Bombyx mori: one gene and its partners. The protein of the gene in region 3 binds, or shares a complex with, the protein of the main gene of each other region. Links are inferred from orthologs where the notes say so. Each region holds a gene or a part of one and is shown on either strand. Other genes may lie near its edges. The genes, in order: inhibitor of growth protein 3, ruvB-like 2 and mrg.

What was found.
Region 1: mrg (region 3) and inhibitor of growth protein 3 share a complex: the UniProt entries of both Homo sapiens proteins name them as parts of the nuA4 histone acetyltransferase complex. The link is inferred for Bombyx mori from reciprocal best matches to the Homo sapiens genes MORF4L1 and ING3.
Region 2: mrg (region 3) and ruvB-like 2 share a complex: the UniProt entries of both Homo sapiens proteins name them as parts of the nuA4 histone acetyltransferase complex. The link is inferred for Bombyx mori from reciprocal best matches to the Homo sapiens genes MORF4L1 and RUVBL2.

Annotation. Positions count from the first base shown.
Region 1 is NC_085109.1:7,261,480-7,265,582, forward strand, and holds the start of inhibitor of growth protein 3, read right to left. Parts: upstream 2,914-4,103; 5' UTR 2,732-2,913; coding exon 2,704-2,731; intron 2,461-2,703; coding exon 2,389-2,460; intron 2,300-2,388; coding exon 2,102-2,299; intron 1,882-2,101; coding exon 1,740-1,881; intron 1,403-1,739; coding exon 1,300-1,402; intron 1,144-1,299; coding exon 1,054-1,143; intron 652-1,053; coding exon 549-651; intron 34-548; coding exon 1-33. UniProt on the Homo sapiens protein: Component of the NuA4 histone acetyltransferase (HAT) complex which is involved in transcriptional activation of select genes principally by acetylation of nucleosomal histones H4 and H2A.
Region 2 is NC_085117.1:3,013,484-3,017,138, reverse strand, and holds part of ruvB-like 2, read right to left. Parts: intron 3,422-3,655; coding exon 3,325-3,421; intron 1,800-3,324; coding exon 1,668-1,799; intron 499-1,667; coding exon 386-498; intron 1-385. UniProt on the Homo sapiens protein: Possesses single-stranded DNA-stimulated ATPase and ATP-dependent DNA helicase (5' to 3') activity; hexamerization is thought to be critical for ATP hydrolysis and adjacent subunits in the ring-like structure contribute to the ATPase activity.
Region 3 is NC_085127.1:11,194,352-11,198,739, reverse strand, and holds the start of mrg (mortality factor 4-like), read right to left. Parts: upstream 2,936-4,388; 5' UTR 2,909-2,935; coding exon 2,881-2,908; intron 2,765-2,880; coding exon 2,647-2,764; intron 2,022-2,646; coding exon 1,909-2,021; intron 1,357-1,908; coding exon 1,261-1,356; intron 413-1,260; coding exon 322-412; intron 292-321; exon of another isoform or gene 60-291; intron 1-59. UniProt on the Homo sapiens protein: Component of the NuA4 histone acetyltransferase (HAT) complex which is involved in transcriptional activation of select genes principally by acetylation of nucleosomal histones H4 and H2A.

The DNA of each region.
Region 1 (4,103 bases), on a different chromosome or scaffold from region 3:
TTATTTGACTCGACCCAGAAGATACACCTTGACCTATGTGGGAAGATTTTTGGTATTTATTGATTGACTCAGTGGCAGAATAAACAACGCCCCTGTTAGCAGAGCCGAGATATGTAGGTTCGATTCCCAAGTCGAATTTGTGGAAAATATTGGTACGACAAACTAGTTTGCCTGTCTTTAATAGCCAGACATGTTTAAACATATTAAGTATGCATGTGCATCAGTCTTTGTTTCCCATAATTCAGAAAGTCCTAGTTTGGGACTAGATGACACTTTGTCATTATTTACCAATTATCTGTTATTTATTTTTATTTTGAAGTGAATTTGATAGAGAGATTTACTGCTCCCCAAACGTAATTCATATTGAAAATTTATCAATTCGCGCTTGCCTAGATTTTCTGGTCTATTATAATTGGTATAGTGGACAGATAACCAATTGTAGACAAACTTTTCACCCAGGGAAATTCTGAAAAAAGCTTATAACTAGCTTTTCTAGCGTTTGAGCAACTGAGAATGATCAATTAATTTATTTTAAATATTTTTTTTACCATGATCGTGATGATGAGTTTGTAAAGCATGATGAGCCAGCTCTCCACCTGCAACTGCTTCATAGGATGCTTTCAATGATGCTGTACGACGACCATGCTGCATCTGTACATTAAGAGAATTAATGTTAACATAATTCGGAAATAAAGTGATGGTTTTATCAAAAAAATATTATATTAAATGATACATTATATCTATTTGTTAAATGCAGAAAGATTCTGAAGCTGAAATGAGCATAAACTACTGCCTTCACATGAAAACTCTATTAATTCGTATAAATACTTTTCATTTTAATTATTATTCAGAGTATTTGTCAGTCTATAAGTAATTAGCTGGAATAGTAGTTAATTTATTTTATTGACCAAAAAGTGTAGATTTAAGACTGTGTATAATGTGTTATCCCGTTTTGAGGTCAGGAAAAAGTGATATCAGTTAGGCTGAACCTGTTATTTTTATACAACCAAAAACATGTTTTTTATTAATCATGTATATTAATGTTTAATTTACTTGTTGTGTAGCAGCAATAGCTTGGCTTGCTGCTGCAGCTATGGTACTGCCAGCATGTCCCAAAGAGTAAGATTCACGACCAAGTGCAGCCTGAAAGTATTTGAACAGAAATTATAAGTTTTACACTGTACTTTGAAATAAACAACTTATTTGCAAGTTAAGTTGTAAATTCTGAAAATTGTTTCTTAGTAATTGTTTTTTTTATTACGACTTTTTTTTGAGTTTGCCTAAAATCTCCTAACAAACCTGTATGGCGGAGTCAGTGCGCGACATATTGCTTGAGGAATGTCCACGTTGGGAATCACGATTTCCCCAACTATCTCGTCGCTTTTCTGGCCTTATGCGATACCTGAACAATTTCCAAGAATTATCTTATTTTATTAATGTTTCATTTTTTTTTCCAAGACAGATCAAAGGTGGGCATGCAGCAGCATATAGAGCCTACCTGATGGTATATAGTCACTGTAACTCAGACATCAGCAATGCCAGGCATAGTCAAGCTACTGATTACTTACTGTTCCAGTAGGAAACAAGATGCGATTCAAACTACAATGAATTGTAGTTTAATACTAACTCTTGAGAGCAAATTATTGTTTAAAGATAGTATCTATCCAACTATTTAGTCAAAACATGATTGAGGATATTTTTCATTACACAATTTTAATTTGACATTTGTGTTGAGTTACCTATTTTCCTTGTAATGACTGCTGTTTGATGTGCTAGTGTGATTAGTATTAACATCCAATTCAAGTGACCTCTTCTCAAGCAATTCTGTTATCCCTTTGTTGTCTGCTTCAAGCTCACACTTGAATTTATGCAGCTCTGTATCTGTTTTTAAGCATGTTTAACTTATTATTTGAATATTTCGAATATATAAATTGTTTAATTATACATCATACCATGTTTTCATAGTGGTACACAATTATGTATGCAAACCGGAGTGTTAATTAATTTTAATTATGGAATCACTCATTTAACTGAATTTACTTAAAAGTTGCAATATATTTCATACATTATTTTGTGTACAGGATTTTTTAGTGATACGTACCTAATCGTCGAAGATACCTATCAACCAAATCATACATTTGGTTGGCAAGTGTGGTCTTTTCGTCAGCCTCTTCTAAAGTTTTGGCATAGCCCCGCTTAATATCCGAAAACTCAGTATTGGCTTGATCGGTATTTATTTCACCACGACGACATCCACCAAAAAGAGTACGGACTCTTTTCTCAAGGGTGTCCATGTTATCTATTAATGACCAAAATATAGTAAAAGTCTGGTATAATAGTGTAATTGTATTGTATGTATGAATGTAATTTTATGGCAAGATAGCTTACTTTGGACAGACAAATCCATTTCTCTCATTTCAGTAAATCTGTCTCGCAGTTCTTGCGGTAGATGTTCTATCACTGCAATTAAATCTCAAATTTTATTCGGTTTATGCTTTCACATAAACTTTAAAATTAAATCAAGCTGTTATTATTATTTGTATTACTTAATTTACTAATTCAATATTCTGCGTCAACGATGTTGTTTAACAATTCAAATAGTGGTATTTTTAAATTTTGCGCTTTATTTATTAAGGACGCTACAGTGCTACCAACTGTCTTAATGGATTTTTAGTTACGTCACTGGTCTAACAAATAACTTACTTTCCAAATAATCTTCAAGATACAGCATTTTGGTGAGTGTTTTGTGCTTCAAGTTTGTTAAATTACTGTTGAAATGCTAACTTTGAACCTAAAACTCAAATAAATTAGTCAATAGATACTACGTTGATGTATACTTAAACGTCACACTTCATAAAGCTGGAAAGCTTGATTGATTTTACAAAATGGTGGGTAAGTAGTGCTGTGACAAAAAGAGTGTTAACATCGGTCACAAAATCGATTAAAATACCAGCTAACTAAGAAATATTACTTTTGATTTATTTCTTAGATTGAACTTAAACTTTAAAATTATGTGGTAAATAGCTGTTTGTATATATTGTAAGTATATAGTCCAAGTGGTCCAAGGTAAGTTAATTACTAACCTTTGATTCTAATTAATACCATAGGCATAGTACTAATAATACTATACAAAGTATAAGTACTAGTTCGTGTATTTGTATCGTGTATTTTGAAAAAACATTTCCATAGATCGCATATGTAGACAAATTAGAAATTTCAATTTGACACAATTTCATTCAAAAGACACACTTCGTGTATTTGACGATTTCGACAATCGACTTAAAATAGTCGCGATTAAAATATGCGAATTCACAACATCAATAGGTAGGTACCTAATATGTGCGCTCATTGGTGTGTAACCAAGTACCGTACATAACTGGCTACAAGGAGAGAAGCGCGGGAAACTTGATTGTAGACGTACGCGTTTTTCGACTTATAAATTATTTTATTTTATTTTTTGGATTGGATCAGTAGTTTAGTGTAGTTTATATAGTAATATTTGTTTTGTTTAAGTTTTATTTATTTAAAAGTGAATTAGGACTGTTATTGGTAAGTGTTTTTTTTTCCTAACTTTTGCTCCTTATGGAGCCGCCTGATGACCCTGGGGGCGGAGAAGTCCCTGGGGTCGGTTACAATGTAACAATATCAAATGAATCTGGAATGGAAACCGATGGATCCGTTAAATCTAACAGTGGTGCTCGAAAACGTAGAGCCACTGTCAATAAGCATTGCTCTAAATGCCATAAAAAAAGACGAAATCGGAAACAAAATCAGGGCAAAGAAATAAAACCAAACGAATGTGATTGCATACCTTTGTTTAATAGTAACACTAACACCCAAAGTATTACTCCTCCCCAATTCACTGACTCGCAACTGAATTCCAATCAGTCCAATCAGTACAAAAAACCAGAATCGGTAGCCAGATTAACTTATCAGGTAAGTGATGCAGCACCATATGTTGTTCATGTGCAAAAAATACAGCAAGCTCCTAACGATGATGTAACAGTTCACCCTATCGCTTTTGGTCGTTTTTTAAAAAGGAATTCTATCCACAACATCGTTAACGGAAGCTTAAAAAGAATTGGCCGTAATAGACTGTCTCT
Region 2 (3,655 bases), on a different chromosome or scaffold from region 3:
TGCTGGGTTAAGTTACCATCGGAATCTCCCCTACCTTGCCCGAGTCTGGCTCGAGCAAGAGTATCCATCTATGAGCTTCATAATTTTTTTACTGGTGGTAGGAAGTCGAGTCCGCGCGGGTAGGTACCACTTCTCTGCCTGTTTCAGCCGTGAAGCAGTAATGCGTTTCGGTTTGAAGGGCAGCTGTTGTACTGTTAAAAATGAGACCTTACAACTTATATCTCAAGGTGGGTGATGGCATTTAAGTTTCAGATGTCTATGAACTCCTGTAACCACTTAACACCAGGTGGTTTGTGACCTCGTCCACCCATCTATGCAATAGAAAAGAACTCCATCCCCCTATAAAAATCACCACCCGTTCTATGTTAGACAGAAAAAAGATTACCTCATCGATGAATAGCACCCCCGGAATCATTTCTGCCTTCCCCTCCTCTCTCCACTCAGCCACCTTACTGTTAATCTGCTCCCGAATCTCAGATTTAATCTCGCCCGTGTCGCCTGAGAACACAAAGTCGGTCCGTGGACATCAAAACCTTGGAGGTTTGGGGTCCGGCTAGTTTAGAGACCTTATCACTTGACCAGGTGGAATAACAGACTCTAGAGCTCCAGCCAGGTACTGAAGGAGTGCTGATCTGGAGATCTGACAGTTCAAGGATTTATCCTTCGAGTACATCTATTGGATCAGATCGGCAGGACCCAGCGAGAGACTCAGTTGACTGATGCTACGGTCTAAGACTGGATCCTTTATGTCTTTAAGGGTAAGGACAAAGGGAACATCTTCCACCGAGCAGGATTGATGCGTCTTACGATGTTCCGCCATCTCTCCCTGCTCGAGGTCATTCTACTGCACTCATTTAGGGAACCTCCCACTGCAGTTTTAATTTGGGCTTTCCACCACATTGGTGACCTCTGGAACTTGTATATACGCACATATATCTCGAAAATGTCGTTAGCGAGATTCAGGCATTGATCATTAAGACAGGGGTTCCCAAGCATATTTTGTCTACGGCCCACTTTGAGAATAAATTATTTTTAACGCCCCCATTTTCTCAACTACTTAAAAACCCCTATAGCGAGAGGTCAGTCGGTGACTAAGGGTATCCTAGTTGAAATTACTAATCGCCTCCCAAGCCTCTACACAACGCCCCCCATTTTTTTATCTGGGTCTCTTACAGCCCCCCTTTAGGCCTGCAGCACCCAAAAGGGGGCGTTATCGCCCACTTTGAGAAAGGCTGATTTGAGAGATGTATGTCCCATTACCTTTTGCTCTAGATCAGGGGTGGGCAAATATTTTGATTAGTCAGTTTTTTTTCTAATTTTATATTGTGCGACTATTATACATAGTGTAATAATTGTTCAATTATCATAATTATATTTTCGAATAGGAGGCGCTGAATAGAGCGGTTGTCCGGGAGAAAATTTTCCCACCGGCCCTGATAGTATGTATTGGTATTGCTTAATATTTTATCTAAAAAATTTTATGCAATGTGTTTTTAATAATAATATATTATATACAATGCTTCACGGGCCAAACAAAATTCTACCTCCGCCATTTGCCCAGGCCTGCTCTAGATAGTTTATTAGATAGCATTAAGAGGTATCCGGACAACTGCTCCACCCTTCGACTTACGAAGGCAGTCCTGCCGGTTCAATGCGCACAGACTCACCGGAGAACAGTGCCAGGAAGCCGTGGGTCCTGGAGTTGATGACGTCCACCTCGTGCAGCGTCACCGTGTGCACCACCTCCTTGCGCTTCTGCAGCTCGCCCTCGGGGCACTGCACGAACCTGGCCTGCTGACCTGATTGATGTATACAAATAATAATGTCATATACTATTTATTTGTTACTCACTGAGGGTCGGGATAAAAAAAAAAAAAAAAAGTGTGTGTGTGTGTGTGTGTGTGTGCAAGTCACACGTGGTAGAAGTGAAACATATAAAAATATAAAAATAATCGCAAAGGTCACCCAGCAGTGCAATGGAGCAGTCTCACTCTGGGGGAACCGCCTGCATGATTACGGTATCCCTACGTCAGGTATTTTGTTTTTTTTTTCCTACCTAAGCTGATAGCCTTGAGAGGCTATTTCAGCGGAACCTTAACTAGTAGATGAGCTCACGGGCTCAAACCTGACGACGTTGCTAACACTGGTCCTAGCAAGAGTAGTGCTTCGCAGAATCTATTACCGGATCGGCAATGCGACCCGCTGAGAAGATCCGGCGAGAAACTCAGTGGGCTGTGTCTGAGGGTTAATTTACTCGTCGAGCCTATCGTCGCAAGCGACGGGTTCGACGAAAACGGTGACCGGCGCCAGGTAAGTATGATTTAGCAAGAGAAATACGAGAACGTCTATCAACTGTGTAACATCTCGTCACCGCGACTCAGGAATTGTTGAATTTACGTGCAGCGATATCTGTTGATAACAAGCCAAATATAAATAATTTTAAATCATCTTGTATAGTATGAGGTAGCGCCCTCTATGAATTGATATTTTAACTTCACTTAAAACGTGTTCTATCTGATTCTCTCGCCGGCTGAATCCTATACATATATGTGTTTGTGTCTCTATGGACTTATTTTTTCGTTTCGTTTCATTTCGTTTCATCGAGTTTGAAATCACAACGATTCTAAAGAAGTGACACTTCAAAACTTCCAGCGAAGTACTAAATTAAAACTCTATTAAGCACTTAGAATACTTAAGGAACACTTTATAATTCGCACTTCACTTCTTCCGCTTCGCTTCGAGTAGATTCGAGTCGATTACTAACTGCCTTCGTGTCATCTCTTTTATAGCTTTTATAGCCAGGACAACATCTCTACAATTACCGAGAACATTCCTGGTAGGACCAGTCGTTTCGATAGGTGTTTCCGCTATTTGATAATAGATGCAAGTTACACTTCTCGAGCATTCCCGATTTTATTAGTTCTTTTAATATTCGTTTTTGCTATTCGGCGACAGATGGCATTATTATTATCAGCGTAATAAGAACTTAATGCAAATTATTGTATAATCATCGGTCCTTGACACAAGTGAAAATTTTCAAGTCGATCAAACATCTTAAGCAATTTGAAAGAATCCGTTACATACAATTGATTTGTCAGATTTTTTTTTTATTTTTTTTTTGTGCAGGCATTTTACTATAGGCAGACGAGCATACGGCCTACTTGATGGGAAGCAGTTACCGTCACCCATGGACCTCAGCAATGTCAGGAGCAGAGCCAAGTCGCTGCCTACCGTATATCTAGTGTTTGTTTAAAGATAGGCTCCTTCCAAATCATTCCTTTCACATTGTCTTCGATACATTGGCAATTCAATATAGCTGCTCACCGGTAGCATCATAGTCTCTGGCTCTGGCAAAACTCCTGCCGAGCTTGTTTATTTTGCCTGTAGCCTTGTCTATGGTGATCACATCTCCGGCTTGAACCTGTCAACAAGAAAATCGTTCAGCAACTAGTTCGGACCTAGCAAGCTAGAGTCTAGTCAGCAAGTATGTGGCTTATTTGGTATTAAATAGTTACTGGATCTCATGGACATCAACAAGGTGGTGAGGTTACTTGAACTAGGTTAACTAGGTTATATATTATATTATATACTATAACGAATACAGCTAAATCAGTCAAGCAGTTTTTAATCCACTGAGTTTCTCACCAGATCTTCT
Region 3 (4,388 bases):
CGGGGCTCAAACCTGACGATGATGCTAACACGAACCCTAACAAGAGCAGTGCTTTGCAGAATCTACCACCGGATCGGAAACGCGACCCACTGAGAAGATCCGGCGAGAAATTCAATGGGTATATTGCTACCATTTCCATTATTAGACGACTATTTTTGAACCCCAAAATTGTATGGAATGTTAAAGCGGTACACATATATAATTATCAACTTTTATATATAAGCATGAACTTAAGTAGGTGAACCTGTGTAGGAACATGAGTAGGTTCCAAAAGATTGCAATATGCGTGTGAGTGTGTGTTAAACATACGGACAGACATACTTAGGTTGATCAGATCCAGAATCAGCAGGTGTATCTTTACTCTGAGTTTTAGTTGTTTTTGCGGGAGCTGGTGTACTATCGGACTCTTTTACTGAAAAGAAAACATTAACATGAGTTTTAATGAGAGATAAAATTTAAATTGGATCTCACACTGAATGCCAACTATATTTACAATGGGAACTCATTTTCCTAAATACCTACTTGTTTTGTCATTATAATTTTTTTTTTTTTTTATTTGCGTTAATAAACCAACTACCTGTTGGAATACATCTTTTTAGTGGGTCGAGAACTGAATTGCATTCTTATGACAGCTGTCCTATCCTTTAAATCAGCAACAAGCTGCTTCGTAACTGTATTAGTGAGGATATCTGTTCTTCTTTTAATAAAAGGATTTCTAAGTGCGGGTTGTATAAAGACACACACACAGTGAACTGCTTTGTTACCCAACACATGTTCTTAAGTTCATAATTAAATAATAAAATATAATAATAATAACAATAAAGTGAAACAGTGTGAACATCGCTTTGTTTGTCAAAACATATGGTTCGAAATAAGCAGGCCATTCCAGAGAAAATTTTAATGTGAGTAAAAGGAATCCTTCAAAATCCATCCCAGCTTCTCCTCGTTGTGATTAGATCCAATTTTATTTTAAACAAAAACTAAGGCGAGACAAAACTGACACACTTTAATAATTTGCTAAACAGAAGTAACATACTTTAGAATTGCTAATTTTTTTAAGTTACCTTTTGCTGACTTTCATCCACAAATAAAAAAAAAAAAAACACTAATTGGAAAGCATTAGGTTCCTGGTGTCCATAGCTTTGATACATCAATAAAAACACCATAATACTATAGCTATCGACTTCTTATTCATCTTGAATTTTTAGGCTTCCAAATCTAATAACCTTAGCAAGCTTCTGTTAATGATAACAAAAATACCTTGAGTACTACTCGCAGGGGTAGATGCTCTTGATTCTTCTCTAGCTGGAGTAGTTGCAGCAACTGCTGCATCAGATTTCCTACCCTTTGCGGGAGCTGCAATTGTATTTAATATTGCAGATTTTTAGACTGTTGTACAGAATGATCATATTGGTTTATTTAATTTTCAAGAATCTATTGCAAAATCAAGAAGTAATACCCATTAAAACTATAAATCACCTGTTGTCATATTTTTACATTTGTAACTATCACAAAAACTATAAAAGTATAGACAGTACATAAAATGCCAGGATGAACTAATAAAAATAAGAACAGACTTTTTCTTATCATGTCTACTTTACTGTCAAACTCGCAAAACTAAGAAAATGTTAATTTAAATAAATCAAAGTAACAACAATATCTTATACTAGTTCATACAGATTCTAAATCTGATTTGTTTTCCTATATATAAAAATTTAAAGTATTTTTCAAATTCATAAAATATGTACAAATCAACTGATTTTTAATCCTTATACTTGCACCACCCTCTAGAATTGCAAGAGACAATCCAGTGTTTAATGGTATTATTTCTTTTAATTATAAAACCAAATATTTCCATGGTTCCAAATATTTTTAAATGTAACTTAGAAAACGGTGTAAATTACTAACTTTTCTTAGTTTTAGTTGGTTGTGCGGAATGAGCTCTTTGGACTTCTTTCTGCCTTTGTACATTTGCTTCATTGTACTTCAGAACACGGCTTTCAGGCACCCATTCATCCCAACTGAAATAACATTAAGACATTTATAATATACAATTTGTATTTCTCTTTTCAGTAGTTTTTCATATCATACAGCTAAATAAATTTGGTTTAAATTTAATGTTTATTAATCTACTAATAATTTTAGTGGTATGGATTCAGTCCACTGTAATTTTATTATAAGTATTAAGACTATTAAGTTAGATTTCTATAAAATACTTTTAATTTTATTGTTAAAATATTTTGATGCAATCCTTTAATTTGTTTTTAAGTCGGTGAGTTTTTAATCTTGTGTAGTTTTGAACTTCATGTGTTCTTGTGTTATTATTGATCAATGTTATAATATATTATTGTTTAACAGTTTAACATTAACCAATAAAATTTTTGGTGTGGTGCTATATGATTATAATTTTGAACAGCAAAATAAAATACTGTGAATATCACTAAATTTCTTAACTTAAGCTTTATTGTATGAATTATAATGTATAGCTTGCAGGTTTTTATAAAATAATAGTACATACTTTAATGGTAGATACTAATTACTATTGAATCCTTTCAAGTCTTCGTGATTCAATCGGTCACCGTTCAACAAATTTCGTTTACATTACTTGTCTTAATTTTCGTCAAATCTGACATCCAAATGACTTACTTTTTGTTCCATCCCGCGTAATGAATAAGATACCTCACGTGTTTGTCCTTTGTAACTGAGCTTTTTAAACATTTTGCTTCATAAATTAGCGGTCCGTGGAAACATAGCACTTTTTCACCTGAAATTAAGGAATTTGCATTGAAATAAATTACGGTAAATAAACCGATAAATATTTTCAAATAAATTAATTGATTCTAAACATTTATACTGAATAGTGTACTAAAAATAATTTACCTTCAGCAAATTTTAACTTTGGTGCCATTGCTACATAATGTGATTATTTGTTTACAGTTTACAAATGGCTGACTGACTTGTGACTTGAGTCGTTTAATTTTTACAAAAGAGGAAAGGCGAAGGTAAAAGACCATACTGCCAAATGTTTCCTGTGTTACACATAAAATGAAAATAAAGTTAATTTACAATAATAATTAACTATAGAATTATATTTTAACCTGCTTTATACATATTAAGCTATATAAATTTAGGGCGAAAATGGGCATCCTTGTTAACTAGTCAGTTTTGCCTTAGGTAGCTGTGTAGCCATGGAGGATAGAACTAAGGAATATCATTTTGTATAGAGGACAAGTTGAAAAAGTCTCCACCTCTAAACGGTAAGATATTGTTCGAAGACTCACCGAAATATCGCTAGTATAGAAAGTGCAAATGATATGAACACAGCAGTTTTAAACAAACTGAAATGTACTAGATGGCAGTGAAGGCTATGTTCCGATCATTAATTGAAATTCTGGAACTATTCAATTTGTCTATGTGTGTTCTCTGTATTTGTATTACGCAGCATTATATTAAAGTTTTATCTAGTCTTTGCTACACATATGGAGGGTAGAACTAAGAAGTACCATCTCAGTATAATAAAAAGTGTCTGCTGAAAGGAATATAATTAAGCTGGCGCCATAGAAGCAAGTGGAAAGATTTAAAAAACAGCGCCATAAACTACCACCCTTCGGTTATGTTCTAGCTTGCACTGCGAGTACTGTAAAGTCGGATGTCAATATAGCGAAGCTGTTCCTTCATAGTTAGATATATTGGTTACTATTTAAAACGGAACGCAGCATAGTATACTGTCATCACATTTTTTTTGCGTTGTTTTCACTTCAACAAAAATTAGCGGTTTCATATACAAACTGTATAACATGGGACTACAGACTCGTGCTCATCATACGAGACTTGTTGAATTGTTCGTTTCGATATTGAGTAGAGGGAGCTCACTCTCGCCCCCGTCATCTGACGGCCAGAGTCCCACAAGGCTCCGCGCTCTCCCCGTTATTATGTAGTTTGTATATCAATGATATACCCCGGTCTGCGGAGACCCATCTAGCGCTTTTCGCAAATGACACGGCTATCTACTACTCGTGTAGGAAGAAGTGGCTATTGCATCGGCAATTCCAGATCACAGTAGCCACTGTTGAATAGTAGTTCTGGAAGTAGCGCATTGACATCAACCCCACGAACAACACAGCGGTGCTCTTCAAAAGGAGTCGCCCTCCGAATACCACTTCGAGCAGCCCATTCCCTAATAAGCGCGTTAACACCTCCGCGTTCGCCCGATCACTCTCTTTGGCCAGCCCATACAATGGGCCTCGAAGGTCAAACGTTTAAGCGTCACTCTCGGCAAAGGGACGACATTCCAACCCCTCAATAAAAACGGTACCGGTAAAATGGGGCGATTAGGGATTGACAGGCGAATCGGGAAAAAACTGGGAAAATCTTTCGACACTCAATAT